Oryzias latipes: one gene and its partner. The protein of the gene in region 1 purifies or fractionates together with the protein of each later gene. This does not show direct contact. Links are inferred from orthologs where the notes say so. Each region holds a gene or a part of one and is shown in the gene's direction. Other genes may lie near its edges.

Region 1 (8,419 bases):
GCTCCATCAGATCAAACACGGTGTCGGGGATGCCACTCAACATGAAGAGGTGCAGTTCTAACTTCTCCTGGGAGTTCTTGGTGATCCTCTGCCGGAGCTTATCCAGAGTCCACTCGTTGTTGAGGTTGAGCTGCCTCAGCTTGTTCTCACTGACTTCTGAAAGGAAGACGGCGAAGCGCTTGGAGTAGAGAGGGTCATACTGATCGATCATGTGCAGCATGAATGCAAAGTCGTTCTTGACGTCTGGTATGTCGCTGTAGCTGCTCTCTTCACGGATGGATTCGAAGGAGTACTTCTTCAGAGAGCGACGCAGCATCCAGCAGAGGGTGTACATGCAGATCAGACCATAAACCACCACCAGGCTTATGTAGAAACAGGCTAGGATTTTAAAAAGAGTAGCTAACGGGTGAGCACAGCGGTAAACACTGTAGCCAGTCAGGCTCTCTATATTAACGGCGCAGTCCACGCTGAATTTGATGTCATGCACGTAATACCCCGTGTAGCAGATAATCAAAATAAACTTGATCACTTTGATGATGGTCTGGCGGATGTACAGTCGGTACACGATATCTCCTTCCTCCACGTGAATGCGGAACTTCTTCACCTTTTCGAAAAGGGCTTTCGCTTGCTCGCCTTCTTTTTTGTCTAAAACTCCCGTTTCTGTGCGATCGACGATGCCCTGCTCGAACAGCGTCTTTGTCCTCTGGAGCATCGGGACGCTCGCCTCCACATCTTCACTTATGACGGATTCTTTGTGGTCCACCGAGCCGTTCATTTTCATGGGTTTGGGGTCGCTTTCCTCGACCACCGTCTCTGACAGAGCCCTGGTTGTCCACGGAGAGTCAAAGCATTTCAGCAAGATGGACACAAAGTGCTCCAGTTTGGAGCTAGTCCGTGGAAACTTGAACCAAAAGTTGCTGCAAGCGAGAAAAATCAGGGTGTGGAGTAATACTAAGTAAGGAAAGTACTTGGCAAACCAGTGCAGTCTGTTTTCGTAGCACACAGCATCAACGTAGTTGTACTGGTGCCGGTCCAGATCATACTGGATCCCTTTGGGTTCCTTGAAAAAGGTCGAGGACAGAATAGAGCTAAAGTTTTTCTTGCAGGTTTCATTGACGACCCATTTGCAAGGCAGGCAGATCATTTTGTCCTGTGTGATCTGCAGCGTTCCTCCAAACACGGAAATCATCAGCATGACGATAGAAATGTAGTCCGTGAACACATCCCACCATGGTTTCAGGATGCGGTATGCTGGCTGTGTATCCACAAAGTACCGCAATTCAGTGATGGGGATCATGGCTTATCTGTAGTGGAAAAAAAATAAAGAAATATTATGGACAGATTGTTTGAATTTTGAAACACTAGTACATGACATTTCTCTCTTTTTTTATTTGAAGACAATGTGGGGTCAGGTGTCTTTCTTAAGGACAAAATGACTGTGTGGCCTGGGATTTGAACCCCAGACCAGCGAAGTGACACATTCCCATGACAAAAAAACCAAAAACAAAAACACAAACAGGAAATCCCTTTTTTTCCCATAACACGTGAACCAGATAGATTCAACGGGTCAAGGAAGGCAACGAACAACAAAATAAAAGGGAATCTGCAACATCATTTAAAAGAAAACTTTAAACTTTTCATTAATTTCTGCCTCAAGCTGAAAGCAATTTTAAAAACAGAATTTATATATGGCTTAAAAGTTACTTATTTAATATTTAAGCAGTTTTATACCATGTTCCAGGTCAATACGCGATTCTGATTGGCTGCAGGGTGTCAGATAATTAAGGGTTATTGGCCGATGAAATGTCCATAATTTTAAATTAATGGACGACACTGAGGTTCAAAGTCCATCTATAAAGTCTGTTAATTTCTGATAATGGACACTTCGAAGGCCATTTTCCCGCGCATGCCATGGTCACATCCAAAAGAAATAAAAATTAAATCAATTGTTAGTACTTTATTCCAGTTATTTTTCCGGTTTAAATAGCTTTTTAACAAAAAATTGACTATTTGTTGTGCGTTGTCATGGTATCAGCTGAGCGGGCATCGACCTCGACTGCGGCGGCAAAGGACAGCGTCATATTTGCTGGTCATGACGATGGGGTCAGTTCAGACAAAGTTCACCTCTTTGTCCAGATGATGAAGATGAAGTTTGTTTTGAAGAAGCCAGAGGAGAACATACACATACAGAACATTTACGCTATGTGACTGGAACTTATTTTTTTAGGTGTGCATGATCACTTTTTAATTCACGCCCAGCAGCCAATCAGAACCCAGCATTCACACGGACACATGGTATAACACAGTGGTTCTCAAACCTTTTCTCTTGTCCCCCCCTTTAGAAGAGGAAAAATGTTCATTTTTGCCAGACAGCCAACATCATTTAATGTTTGCAAATTTTCAAAAAAGTATAACTTACTGGGTTTAGAATTAAAAATTGTTTTAACTTGCGTGTTTGATGTGTGAAGTGTTACATGCACTTGCTCCTCCTTCTTTGTCTGACGAAGGGATAACACCATCCATTAGTCTTATTTTGATCAATTATTTTACTATAGTTGATTCTAAAAATGTTAAATAACTCAGAAAGTCTTTAAAACGGGAGTTATATGTTGTTATTTTTTTAATATCTAAAGAAAGAAAATTAACTCAAAATTAATTTAGAAAAATAGCTGAACACAAGACACGAATGAAATTAAAGCAAAATGGATATCGAGAAGTTTCCATACTCACAAGTCCAAAGCAGAACCATGCGATTCATCCTTTAGCTCAGTTGTTGTGCGAGTCAAATGCAGCACTTCAAACCAAGCTCTTGCTTTGTGCGCCTGCACCCCACCCAAACCGTCCGCTGGAGAAGCCCCTCTTCTAAAGATGATGTTCCGTTTTGGCTGGTTTCACCCAAACAACACAAGCGCAGAAGGAGCCACCTTGCTCCCCTGCTCTCTATTCTTAGCTATTTCCGTTAATAATACTCAGGGTATTGTCTGTGGGGGCCTTGAAAAACACCTCCCTCGACCTTCAGGAGGAGATCCTGTTTACCATACAGATGCTTCTGTCTCCAACCAGTGTCTCTCTGGAATAGTCTGTCGGCAACTTTTGACGACACACTACACACAATAAGGAATTCGGGTTTGGCATTTAGTACAGCTGGCACTTTGTTGGGAAACTGTAAAGTAAATGTGCTGCTCCACCACCAAACAGGAAGGTGATGAACAGTCTTCAGACACACCTACCAACATTTGTAGCGTTGATTTTTTTGGGATGATGATGTAGCGGCGCCAGGACCAGCAAGCATGGGTGTTATCTCCGCCTCAGCTCCTGATGAAGGCCCCAGCTGACCTTCCACTGTCTGTGCATCCAGTGCACTTCATGAAGGATGCCTGTTATCATGCTTGAGCAGCACAGCAGGAGACCTGAAATGGCACGAGGATGACATTGATCCTCCTGTGTTTTTTCCACTCAATATCATAAAAACATGCGGTGGGAAAGTTGACGTGATGAATTATTCACTTAAATGCAAACACTTAGGATGACAGGCTGTAAAACTACCTGATTTATATCGTTTTAATGAGTTTCTCATATTATTTTGGTGCACATGTAGCACGTCAAAAGAAAAACGAGCGACTTTTAAACTAAAAAGTTTAAAAAACACACACACAGATACGTGCCTTAAGGTATCTGGAATTAGCAGAAAAACACCCGCGCCTTTTTCTAAACACAACGCAAGTAAAAGTAGTTAAAATAATGTAAAAAGATTTTAGCAAAATAAGCTATCCTCTCACCAGAGATAATAAAGCTAACTCAGCTATATATATATCACCGGCTGTTTTCCTTCATTGGAAGTTTACACCCTAAACTAAATGTTACATTTCGTCCGACGCTGCGTTTTTCTGAGGCGTGAGAATTTGTAAGATATCCAACTTACTACATACGACGAGCCGGAAAACCTCCAATAATTCTTTGGATCCTAATATTTCTGAAAAAAATTTGGTTAGCTTTAGCTAGCTGCTTAGCTAGCGAGCTAATGTTTTTGAAGTTGCTTCGACACAAAGCCGCGGACAGTTGCGACCTCCGGCCGATAGGAGGCGCTGTGACGTAAGCAACCGTAGAAGAAGAAAACAACTTCCTCTGCTGTGTGGGATGGAGACGACCGTGTTTTGACCTGAACAATTGTAAATATCCACTGATTTTACCTAAAGAAATCAAAAAGATTATATAGCCAGGCATGTTTCTAAGGGTTGGACGATCGTCCGGGGCCGTACTGCGTTCTCGGTGCTTATTAACGGGTGGATTGTTGGTTCCCAAAGCAGCATGGACCAGAAATGTGACAGCTCTGGCAGTGGGAAGAAGAAGAAGAGGAGAACTTTTTTATTACCCCAATGAAGTCCGTTTTAGGAATTGCAGCACGAGTCAAGCTAAAACGAACTGCTGGAACTGTAAACAGCTTCTCGACAATGTCCCTGCATTCTTTTGCAACTCTTGCAAAACAATTCAACCCCCAGCAGAAGGAGAGTCCTATTTTAAGATCATGGACTGGTGAGTCTCTTGGTCTAATGAGGGGTCTGCAACCTTTGATGCCAAAAGAGCCATTTGGTCCACTTCCTCACTGACCAAAACCCCTCTTTATTCCTCAGACAAAACACACTTTAGTTATTGTGTTATATGGTTGATGCTATAAAGCATCCAGCCCATTGTTTTCCTGTTTCTCCTTCTTTATTATTGTATCTTCTGCCATTATTTGCCGCTTAACTTCTACAATTTTTCCGCTGTTTTACCCATTCAACTGTTAAAATGTTCAGCGTTGTCAGCCTTTTCCAGTTGTGACTTTTGATCCTTCAAATCCTTGGTATTTTCAAGATATTCCAGGATTTTTTCCTCCATTGAAATACATGGAGAATCGCTTGTTCCAGACCCGGTGCTTGCATTTTTCACAAAAATATATTTTTTGTTATTGTGCTGTTGTCACATTATTCAAGGTCAACTTTAATCATTTTTTAAAATTTTATTAATTTATTTTTTTGTCAATTATTATCCTTTAAGTTTCATTTTCATACAGTAATACAGCATTCAACCCGGAATTTTCTTCTCTGGAAATGCAGCTCCTGCTAGTTCTTTATAAAATGTAGTTTTAAACATTTACAATAATTCAATTATTGCAGTGTTTTAGTTTTTAATAGAACAAATACGATTTTATTTAATTAGATGACAGAGCATATAAGCTACTTTCAAAAAATAAAACACATAAATAAGTTTCTTCTGCTACTTGGATCATGATTATGACTTTGGTGCACAGTCCCCCTTTTTCTCCTTTAACCATTTATTCTACACAAGACAACATTAGTGTAGAATCCAACAGGTTTTTCTTTTTTACTTATATAAGGTCAGTATAGGAATGTACACATAAGTGAGAATACGTAAATGAAAAATAACGTTAACATCTTTCCTTAAAGCCAAAAGAGCCACAATAGAGGAATAAAAGAGCCACATGTGGCTGCAGAGCGTCAGGTTGCCGACCCCTCAAACGTTCTCAAACTGCTCCAGTCTGGTTGCGTCTCACCCTTTGTTGCCTCCTTGCAGTGACTACACTTTCACGGTGGACACACAGAAATTGCAGAGAAGATACCTGCAGCTCCAGCGGTTCCTCCACCCAGACAACTTCAGCCAGAGATCTGCGGTAGGCAGCAGATCAGCTGTTGGTTGTTGGTCTCTGCGTCCGAGCAGCCTCTCTCGTTGGTTTGGACACACCCTGTGTTGCAGGGAGTCTGTTCAATTGGCACAAGTTACTCTGGACAAACGACAAAAACAACTTTGTTTCTTAAATAAAAGTGTTAGTGCAGCTTATGGCATATGGCCGCTAGTCAGGATCTTTTCATTATTTTTAACATGTTCCTGTGGCATTTTCTCGATGATGAAGGACACAAATAACCCTAACCTGCTCCATTCCGATGCATCCTCCAACAGATCCATGAACGGCTTTGTTTTCCTGGTCTGAGCTGGAATCTGGATCAGAACTGTTCGGCCGGATAGCTTTGATATTGTCGCCATTTCTGTTGCTCTGGCAATGTTGGGTTGGAGGTGTGAGGGGCTGTAAGCTAGCAGGAGGGCGCGTAAACAGATGGATGATGGGAAGCCGGGTAGGGGTTGCTTAGCACCAACAGTCCCGCCCACAACTCACCAAACAAACCCCTTGTCGCTCTGCAGAAACTATGTCCTTGAAAACGAGAGCTTTTTTGTAAATTTTTGGTTAAAAACGGCATCATCACAATTATAAGACGACCCGTTTGAAAATAGATCATCAGATCTCTTTAAACAACATTAGTTTGGGGTTTTAAAAGGGGTTTTCTTACAACTCTCCAACAGCCGTCATGAATATCATGTGTACTCGTTTAAATTTGGTCTAAATAATTTGCAAACGATGTGTTTACTGATGAGAAAGTGTTGATGTGGACATTTTTAAATCGTACACAATGTCTGCTGGAATCAGTCAGTAAGTAAAGAAACTTGACTGGTTCAGGACTCGACAACAGGTCAATGAAGTGGACTTGTGGAAACACGGCAGAATTCTTTTAAAGGTGTCAGAAAAACAGAAGTAATTTATCTATTTAAAGAAAGTGAGGAACAAGTGCTGTGCTGTTGGACAAAGGATTTATTTTCTTCAGACTACATAAGTAATGGTTTGTTTTTGTAAAGTGATTTTTTTTCAGACAGCTGCAGTGTGATGCAGTGGTTAGCATTCAGAGCGAGGACTCGGGTCTTTTGTGGGCGGAGTTTGCATGTTCTTCTTGTTCTTGTGTGAGTTTCTTCCGCTTTCCTCCTGCAGTCCAAAAACATGCGTGATAGGTTTATTGGCGATTTCAAATTCTCCCTCGGAGTGATTGTGTTTGTTTGGGATAGGCTCCAGCATCCTTATGGCACTAAAAGGTTTGGAAAATGTGGAGTTTGTCCTCACAGAGAAATGTAAAATTGATTGTGTTAACAAAACCTTTGCAGGACTTACATTAAATTCTTAATGTCCCAAAGATTATCGTCAGATAATCTTTGGGACATTTTTTGTCACAGTTCTTGGTGTTTGATGGTGCCTTGTGTCAATTATTGTCTGATTGCTTTCAGCAATCAGAGTATGTTGTTGTAATTCTCTATTATATTTCATTAATATTATCAACATATTTTATTCCATCAATTCTTTTGATCTCTTCTTCTCCTGCAATTGTAAAGATACTTAAACTATTTCAGTTGGAGCTGGTAAAGCTCCAATGGGAGCAGAGTGCTATTACTTTTGGTACAAATCGGTTGTAAGGTTTATGATATATTTATATTTTAATGGAATTTTGCTCAAATAGAAAATGAATAGGGCCAACATTTCAAGTGTAATATCTCGAAAAGCGCAGAGACTATAGGAATGTAACTTAGTGAGCAATAAGGAGAAAGTGCGCTTTAATAAAGCCAGCTCGATTGCGCCTCCATGTGGTCCGTTGTGGTACAAAACGCGTTTATGCTTAAATTGCCAACATAGTAAGTAAAATTCAAAACATTCTTTTTGCTTCTTATTCCTTGGATAGAAATGTTTTTTGAAAATAGACCTAACTATATTTTTCGTAATTTACGATTTTTCGTATAAAAGACGTTTTTGGCTCCCTATTCAATATATTCTCAACAGTCTTTACAATTTTCTCTGCATAACCCATTTGGATCTCCCCGGATCCAATGGTATCAATCATTTTTGTGCAATTCTTTATTGTTTTTGTAGAAAGTGTAGTGCTAATGAGTGGGTGTTCTCTTATTTGAAATGCTCAAATCATTATCAGATACACCAAATTTGAAATAGGGCTTCCTCTTACAGTGATTAATCACAATCAGAAGAATGGGGAAAATATTCCTATAAATTATTCAATTCAATTCAATTTTATTTGTATAGCCCAAAATCACAACAACAGACGTCTCGATGGGCTTCGAAGTAAAACATGAAATCAAAAGGATCATGAATACAAAGAGTTCAATAGAAAAATACTAAAATGAACTAACAAACTGACTAAGCTATACTGGCATCCCTGCCCTTAGACCCCCCTTCGCGGTAAGGAAAAACTCCCAAAAAAACCGGATTCCGGAAAAAACGAAGAAACCTCAGGGGTGCCCACACGAAGGAGGGATCCTCCCCCAGGACGGACAGGCTATTTACCAGAACAACAAGAAATTATGCTATTGTGTTTACACCTATAGTTCAACAACTACTTCCCCTAAACAAAAAATAATTGACAAGTATGTTGGATGAGAGGTCTAGTAAAATATACTAGAAAACTAGCTTTTAAGCGCCACCTGGTGGTGACTATCAGAGGATTTTCTAGCTATGGATAATCCATTGTATCTCTTAAACAGATGCTGATAACAACAGACAACTACTGATAGTTTGCAAAGCTCATTGGGT
Region 2 (8,175 bases), about 2.0 Mb from region 1:
TTCTGCTCACATCCAGACGTTCTTCTGCTCACATCCAGACGTTCTGCTGCTCACATCCAGACGTTCTGCTGCCCACATCCAGACGTTCTTCTGCTCACATCCAGACGTTCTCATACAGATATAAACTGCGTTCAGTGACGGTTGATGTTCTGTGATGAAACCCATCTGTAGATTCTCACACAGAACCCAGAGAAGTCCTGAACCCAGAAACCCGGACTCTTTCAGAAACACTCATCTAGGTCAGATTGAGAACATTTGCGTCAAAACGTTCGGACTGTTTTGCTGCTGGAAGTCAGAACCCGCCTGGTCCTGCATCCACTGAAGCTGCTGCAGGACAACTTTGGGCTTCAGCTTCAGGTGAAACCCAAACGTTCTCAAAAACGTAACGCAGAGCAGCAGCTGAAGCTGAAAAACTTCTGTCACTATAACGGCATCAAAATATCCGCCTTAACCCTTGTGCTATCGTAGATGACCCCCCCCTTCCATTGACGTGTTCTCCCTACCATGACAAAGGTGGATAAAGGTGGAAAGATTTCATGTAATCCATGGACACCAGTGAAGATCACAAATCATTGAAGAGAAAAGGTTCAGAGCACTGTCTAGTGGGTCTAGATGACCCCACTCCCAACGGTAAAGTGCCTAGGATAGAACAAGGGTTACACGTTAGCGCCGCGAATTTTAGGCCACATTTGGGTTTTTCCGTTAGACTTGAATCTCTAGAACCTTTGAAACTTCTTTCAGGAACAGTGTTGGAACGTTAGAACAAGTTCAGGTTGGAATAAACTAGTGTGAAGAGTTCTGTGGATTCTTTGTTTTTATATATTTATATGTCCAGTTGATCCCATAAACTGCTTTTCTCTGGAACAGAACGCCGTTAAAGTGCATCAATGCCGTCACACATCATTCAGACACATTTCAGTCCAAACGTTTGTCTCATTTCCTAGAGAAAAGTTCATTTAAACACGACCTTTAACCCCACGATCTGCACTCAAAAACCCCTCAATGAAAGTCTTTGCCCCCCTCCCTGAGAAACGATTTCTTCATCACACATTGAAGCTTCTGTGTTCATCAGCAGCTGAAGGAACAGATGTTGATCTGAAACGGTGTCTCCTGAAGTCTGGATGTTCTGAACATCTTCAGGTTCTCCCACGGCCTCTGACACGTTTCCAGGAGTCACACGGACGTTCCTGCAGCTTTAGAACTTCAGAGATCCATCAGAGAACCTTCGGTGGAACCATCAATCAAAACGGCTCCACAAAGAGATCTCATCCTGAAAGCAGTAGAAGATGGTTCCCGATCCAACAGTCAGAAGAACAAACGCGGATCCATGAAGGAAAAAGACACGGCTGAGGAACAAGAACCCAGAGGAACATCTGGATGAGCCACAAACGGACCTTCCTGGGAGGAGAACGATTCTGCTCTGAAAGCTTCACAGTCACACATTCACATTGACAACTGCAGGAAACACTGACGCAACATGATAATACCCCTCAGGGGGCAAATACTTTCCCTCCATCTGAGACGCTGAGGTCGTGAGGTCACCCTGAAAGTCCGCTTGCTGTCACTGAGCGCGCTCAGTACAGGCTGTGAATCGGCAGCACGGACGTGTTTCTGGTTTTTTCCAGAAGTTTCTCTCTGAGATCCAGATTCTGAACCTCAAACCAGACGTATCGGGGGTTCTCTATGGGTGGGGGCCTCCCCGTAGGCGGGAGCTCCACCTTCAGTCCGTCCTCGTCACGTTGCACGCGATCGGGCACGAGCGCCACCAGCGTGTTGAGGCAGACACCGTCCGTGCGCCCGTGCTGCCGCCCGTTGTGCTGCAGGCCGCAGACGCCCAGCGTGGCGACGTCGTGGTCGTAGTAGGACGACGGCAGGGCCTCCTGCACCACCATGTTGGCCGCCCACGTCACCGCATGGGTTTTCACCGCCGCGGCGGTGGGGAGATGGGGCGTCGGGCCTGCAGGTCAGGAGGAGGTCAACAAGATTTTCAAAATAAAAGCAGTCATCCTGCTGAAAAAGGAAAATAAGAAAACCGTCAGAAAAATGCACGGGAAGCTTTGCTCCTCCTCCACCAGGGAGGGGGAGGAGCCAAACTACTCCTCCCTGGTGGAGGAGAGAGTGGTCGGTGTTAGACTCTGATTCAGGAGGAACCAGGCGCTTCATGACCCGGTCAGGGAACAGGAGGTCAGCTCTACGCCTCACACAGACGGCGTATGTAAGTGTTTGTAAGGGAGGAGGGTTGGAACCATTTTCCCATCATGCTTCGGGACCGACATCAGACTGTGTGTTGGGGGTTGTACCTCGGACCAATAGGATCCAGATCTGATCTTCGGCACCAACAAAGACCAGGACCATCCTCTGCACCACGTGACGACAACTCAGGTCAACTGGCAGAGTGACAGGATGCCAGGGATTCCTGCGGTACCTGAAGGCAGCACCGTCAGTCTAGACAGCGGGAAAACCTCCACAGATGTGATGTTCGGTGAACGTTTGGTGTTTACTTGAGCCCGTTTTCGATGAGGCGGAGGATGTCTCGTCCTCTGAGGGGGAGGGGGGACTGTCTGTCCCACCAGGCGGCCTGCAGAGACTCCTGATCTGCTGCTGCCAGACTCTTCAAACTACCACCTGGAGAAGAGGAGACCCAGGTTCACTGAGGTTCCCCCCCCCCCCCCAAAGAGCACCCCGGGTCGCTCTGACACCACCTGAGATCCTGGCGAGGAAGATGAAGCGGATCCATTGTGGCCCTTGCTCCTGGATGAGCAGCATGGTGATTGGCTCACAGTCAAACCCCGCCTCCTCCTTCACCTGCAGACAGCCACAGAACAGGTAAGCCAGGAAGTGGGTGGAGAAAAAAACATGACTCCTGCATGCCTCACCTCCCTCCTGAGCGCCTCCTCCAGGCTCTCCCCCACCTCCACCCTCCCTGCAGGAAGGTACCACTGCTTGTAGCAGTCCTGTTTGGCCTCCTGCACCATCAGCACCTCCTCCTAAAGGAGCCACACGAACAGGCTTCAACATGAGGAGGAGCGGCCGCCGCTCTCATGGCGTGCTGGGCTTGCCTTCTCATTGAAGATGACGGCGCAGACGATGTAGGTAATGTTCTTCCTCAGCGCCGCCGGCTTGCTCTGCTCCATGCCGACATCACAGAGGCTGACCTCTGACCCCTGGCCACTCAGCAGCCGCTCCACCTGCTCCTCCACCAGCTGCCGCTCTGATGTCATCTCAATGTCTGCCTAGACACGGGGGAAAAAATGGGTCCTAGTTCACGTCCAGCACAATCCGTGTGATGCTGCTTCATGTTCAAGCTTAAGTGAGGAGTCCCAGCAGAACCAGAACCTGAACCCAGAGAGACCCTCCATGTGAACCGGACCCTCCTGTGTCACAGAGAGGAGGCCTGGAGTTCCACTGATCAGCAGAGGCCCCTTCAGACCTTCATCCACTGCTGGGCTTTTCTCAGCCTAAAGTTTTGGTTCCAATTGGTTCTGCCTCCGTTTATTTGTGTACTTTGGGGTTCTGACAGGTGTGATGATGACGTGGGGGGTGGGGGGCTCACCAGTCTGCCTCTGTTTCATAAAACTCTATTGAAGAGGAATCTGGTTGTGGCCACCTGTTGAAACGGCACGTGCAGCTTTGAGCGTCTGTGGACCGGAGTCACGAACCGGATCCAAACGGAAGCTTCGGGACCAGGACCAGGACGCTCCTGCAGTCAGTTCTGTCCTCTGAAGAACCCCATCGTGGTTCAAACTAGTCCAGGTCTGCCTGAGGTGAGACTCACTAGATCTTCTCCTGTGAAACGCTGAGGTTCTCTTTTGTTACCTGGATGAACTCAGCAGAACCTCCAGCAACTCGCTGTACGTCGGTACTTCAGTACTGAGCTCTCTGCAGTAGCTGCTAGCTAGCATAACAGCTAACGGGACGCAAACTATTTGAGTTCTTCTCTCTGTTTAGCGCAAAACTGGGAATCTCGCAAATGAATTTATCATAAGCGCCATCTTTTTTTTATTTTTATTAAAAAGCGAACCTTTTTCTGCTTGGTCTCCGCAACTCTTCACACTTGTCAACGGCAAACAAACCAGGAAGTGCACCGTCTTTAACTTCCGGTTGGAGTTTCAAGCTTCATCTTAGACTTTTTAAAATTGCAACATTTTCTCAGTTATTTTACGTTTTTACAGACTATACTACGTTTAAATATATTTTGAAATTTGAATTTAAGTCGTTTACATCTTTTTATTAGTGTAGTGGGATTTTTCGTGACTAAACGGCCTTTATTGTGAAATCTGTGGATGAACAGTTTCTCAGCTTCCTGTTTTCATTTTCCGCTTCCGCGTGTTATAACGCTGAAAGGTCAGTCGAAGGCTGTAAGCGCTGAAACCGTGTGTCTGCAGTGATTTACCGGTTGGGACTAACCGGGCAGAAACCCTCCGTTTCTGTAGGGGGGGTTGAAGCTGGACTCGTGAGTTTAACTTCTTGTTCTGACCTCTAGGCAGTTTTCAGCAGCTGGGGGGTTCTGGTCAGAAGAGGCGGGTTCCGTCCATCCTGATGTTCTGCAGCTTCATGTCTGTTTATTTGTCTTCATTTTGTCTCTTTCTGCTCATGTTTTGACTTTTTTATGCCCCTTTGGTTTGTTACGTAGGGGGGGGGGCTGTTTGTAAAGTTACAGTTACATTTTAACTGAAATATTTTTGGATATTTAGCAGGTTTCATTTTAAATGCAGGTTTTCACATTTTGATACAATCTATTTTTTAATGTTTTATTTACTAACTACTTTTTTAGTTTGCAAGCTAAATAGTTAAAGTATTTTCTTTTATAATTAAACATTTAGTTAAGTAATTAAAAGGTGAAAATATGGATTTGAAAGATAAAACCTGCTAAAGTAAACAATAACTGTCACTTTACAAGCGGGTGGCTGTAGTTTAGCACCAAAACTGTTTGGCAGTATTTCCTAAACTGAGACCACGCCCTTGCCCCCCCCATGGCAAAGCTGCTTGCCCCCCATGTTGATGCTGCAGAGGGTCTCAGCTCTCCAGAGACACGGACCTCACGCTCGCCGGTGTTTGTCATCAAACGCTTTCCAGAACCTCCTTCAGATCCAGCTCGTGTGTTCTGTCCTCAGGCCTGAGCCTAAAATGATGTTTTGTTGTTTCTGTGTGCAGGAGGCTGCAGTGTGCCTGGGGGGCCGTGATGCTTCACCTGCAGACAGAAGCAGCTCCTCTGTGGTGGACCTGCAGGCGCTCTGCTCACAGGTGCTGGTAGTGACCTACAGGTCGGTTCTTCAGCCACGATGCGGCACAGCAAGCTGCAGCAGCAGGTCCTGGTTCTGTACCGACAGTTTCTGCGAGCCGCTCAGAACAAGCCCGGCTTCATCCCACGGATCCGTGACGAGTTCAGGGAGAACGCCCGCATCAAGAAGACGGACGTGATGCACATCGAGTACCTGTTCCGGCGAGGCCAGAGGCAGCTGGAGCAGCTTCGGGACGCCAACACCAAGCAGCTGGGCTCCTTCTCCAAACCCAAAGGGTCCGGCTGAAGTCCGGCTGCCTTCAGAGTCACAGACAGACGTGAGCGAAAGGTCATTTACAGGAGAGGAGGCGCGGGCGGACGAGGCGCGGGCAGAATCCCTGTCAAGAAGTTTTCTGTAGGAGAAACCAAGATGTGCTTCAACAAATAAAAACCAGTTTCTGCTGCATTTAGTGTGATGTATGTAGAACCAACGGATCAAACACAAAGAAACATTTAACTGGCTTCAAATGTGTTAAAAAATTAATATATTTAACAACTTTCTGACAAAGGTTATTTTTAAGATCTATTTTGTCTTTTACACAAACAAACGGGCGGCGCTGCCTTAGATAAAGGAGGAGGAGCTCAGTGTTAGGTAGGGATGGGTACCGTGCCCCGGTATTGAACCAGCCCCGGGGCCACATTCTTCAAGACGGCAGTATCGTTAGATCTGACCTGAACGGTTCTGCTATCGGTACTGGAGAAGTTACTTTTTCTTTTTTCTTTTTTGTGTCCCACAAAATGTAAGCGTTATCTGCCATATTTAACTCACCAAGTCAGTCAATTTTCCGTTAATTAATGATGATATTAATTTCGGTATTCTCGTTGAAGCGGAGAGCTCTGTCTGTCTATTTGTGTGCAGGGGGGGGGGGGGGGGGGGCTGTTGTTCAGACAGCACGCGCCACGCGCGCACACACACAAGACAAGGCAGCGCACACACAGTCAGTGGCGATCTTGTAGGGGACACGTGAGCGCCCTAGACTAAGAACTAACGTTTCTGCGTAAAATTATTAAGTTTGCCTACCATGCTGTCACCTTGCTGCTACGATGACCGTATGTTGCGCTGTTTGTGCAGAACAGGCTGGGGCAGCGGGAGGGGGGGTGGGGGGGCGTTGCACGCGGAGTTTACAACAAACAGGTAGAGAGGCGGGGCTTAGACTCACCGCTTATGATTCCAGACCCGCGACAAACTATCAGCTGCTTCCTAATACTTAATAATAATTAATAACTAATGATAGTTGTCATCCGTAAAATTAATATCATTTATTGGGTTTACTGGATTTAAAGAAAAATAAATGGAGTTGGCAAAATAGAAAGGAGTCTGCATCAAAGTGAATTTGTTTCCATCATTTAACTTAACTTAACTCTGGTGTTTGACAGACAGAAACGTCTATATTCAAGGTTGTGGAAAATGGACAAAAGATCAAATGAAACATCACACTCATAAATAATAAAAACAATTAGATTAAATAATTAAATAAATATCCTGTCTGGAACATTCTCATGTATAAAGTAAAATGTTTTGTTAAAAAAACAATGCTGTTGCATAGTGAGGAAATAAAACACTTTATGTTCTTAATTTGCTATTTATTTATTTATTTATTTTCGTCCTCAAAAAGTATCGATAAGAGTACCGGATCGATAAGCAGTATCGATAAGAGTAGTAGTATCGTTAAAACCTTAACGATACCCATCCCTACTCAGTGTGCTGCTGCTCCTCCACAGGGAGAGGAGGTCATTGATGTGGCTCAGCGTGTGGACGCCTCCCTGGGGAGGTGTTCGGGGCATGTCCCACCTGGAGGAGGCCTGCGGAAGACCCAGGACTCCATGTGGAGATTCCATCTCTCGGCTGGCCTGAGAATGCCTCGGGGTCCCCAGAGGAGCTGGAGGGGAGCTTAGACTGCTGCCCCCATGACCGAACCCCAGATGATGGATGGGGAGTTTAGAAACAGCTGTTAAAGATTCTGGAATGTAGTGATTGTCATTACTTCCAGAACCGTATTAAAAAACCATCAGGTTTCTTTGTCAAAGGTCCAATGTTCTGCTTCTCATCTCATGGTTCTTCGGCTCAGGAGAACCCCTGCCCCCACAGCACCGCCCTGCTGAACTCTGGTCTGCAGGTTGGTTCTCTGTGAACCTCAGGTGTTCTGGTCTCTGCTCGAAACCGTCTTTCATTGGACACACGGAAGCCTGGAGGCCGTCATAAACAATAAAACTATCACGTACCAAAAGCCTCGAACTCGTCAGCAGCGTCGCAGACTGCAGTCAGTCCCAGTAACTGCCGCTGGGGGCGCTGTGCGCTCTCTGCTCCACACGGAGGCGGAAGTAAACAGGAAGTAGTTTGTGTTAGAAAAACGAGTAAAACTGACCCGTGGACGCCAGGGTCGAGCCGTGTTTGGCGGTAAACGTGTGTCTGCGGTCATGAACAGCGCGGAGTTTTTTCAGCAGGTAAGGAAAACGAACGGACGGGTCACAGCGGACCCGGGACACTAACGAACCGAATTCATTGCTAAAGGTTCTGATCGGGTTCGGGACGAACCGAGCAGAGGCTCGTGATCCAGGTGTGGGAATAGAAATGGACACTTCCGGTAAAATCATTTCACGTTCAGGTAACGATGCAGTTGTTAACGATGACATCAGTCACGTGACTAAATATAACGCGTTACTTCTGCGCTTAAGGAACTGGCTAAAATCATCCACTATGGTGAGCAGAGTTTCCTGTCAGCCAGACAGCAGGTCTGGACTCGGGTCGGTCAGTTCCGGTCCAGGTCCTGGTTCTGGTTCTGGACTGAAGCTCCTGGACGTTCAGCTCCAAGAACATCCAACAAAAAGCAGGAAAAACGTGAATCTGTCCATCTTTAGAACAGACGGAGCAGCAGAACCTCAGCTCAGACACA

Evidence for each region.
Region 2: the proteins of hscb (region 1) and sdhaf1 purify together in Homo sapiens (co-immunoprecipitation; 3 studies listed by BioGRID and IntAct, with this or other methods). This does not show direct contact. The link is inferred for Oryzias latipes from reciprocal best matches to the Homo sapiens genes HSCB and SDHAF1.

Annotation. Positions count from the first base shown.
Region 1 is NC_019867.2:2,423,579-2,431,997, forward strand, and holds the start of hscb (iron-sulfur cluster co-chaperone protein HscB, mitochondrial), read left to right. Parts: upstream 1-4,113; 5' UTR 4,114-4,222; coding exon 4,223-4,533; intron 4,534-5,574; coding exon 5,575-5,671; intron 5,672-8,419. Other genes in the region: volume-regulated anion channel subunit LRRC8A, read right to left, coding at 1-1,297.
Region 2 is NC_019867.2:401,789-409,963, forward strand, and holds sdhaf1 (succinate dehydrogenase assembly factor 1, mitochondrial), read left to right. Parts: upstream 1-3,507; 5' UTR 3,508-3,553; coding exon of another isoform or gene 3,554-3,572; 5' UTR 3,573-3,764; exon of another isoform or gene 3,765-4,112; intron 4,113-4,278; exon of another isoform or gene 4,279-4,453; intron 4,454-5,154; 5' UTR 5,155-5,282; coding exon 5,283-5,528; 3' UTR 5,529-5,687; downstream 5,688-8,175. Other genes in the region: 8-oxo-dGDP phosphatase NUDT18, read right to left, coding at 1,575-1,957, 2,301-2,425, 2,502-2,625, 2,703-2,805, 2,877-2,987, 3,060-3,229, 3,554-3,572.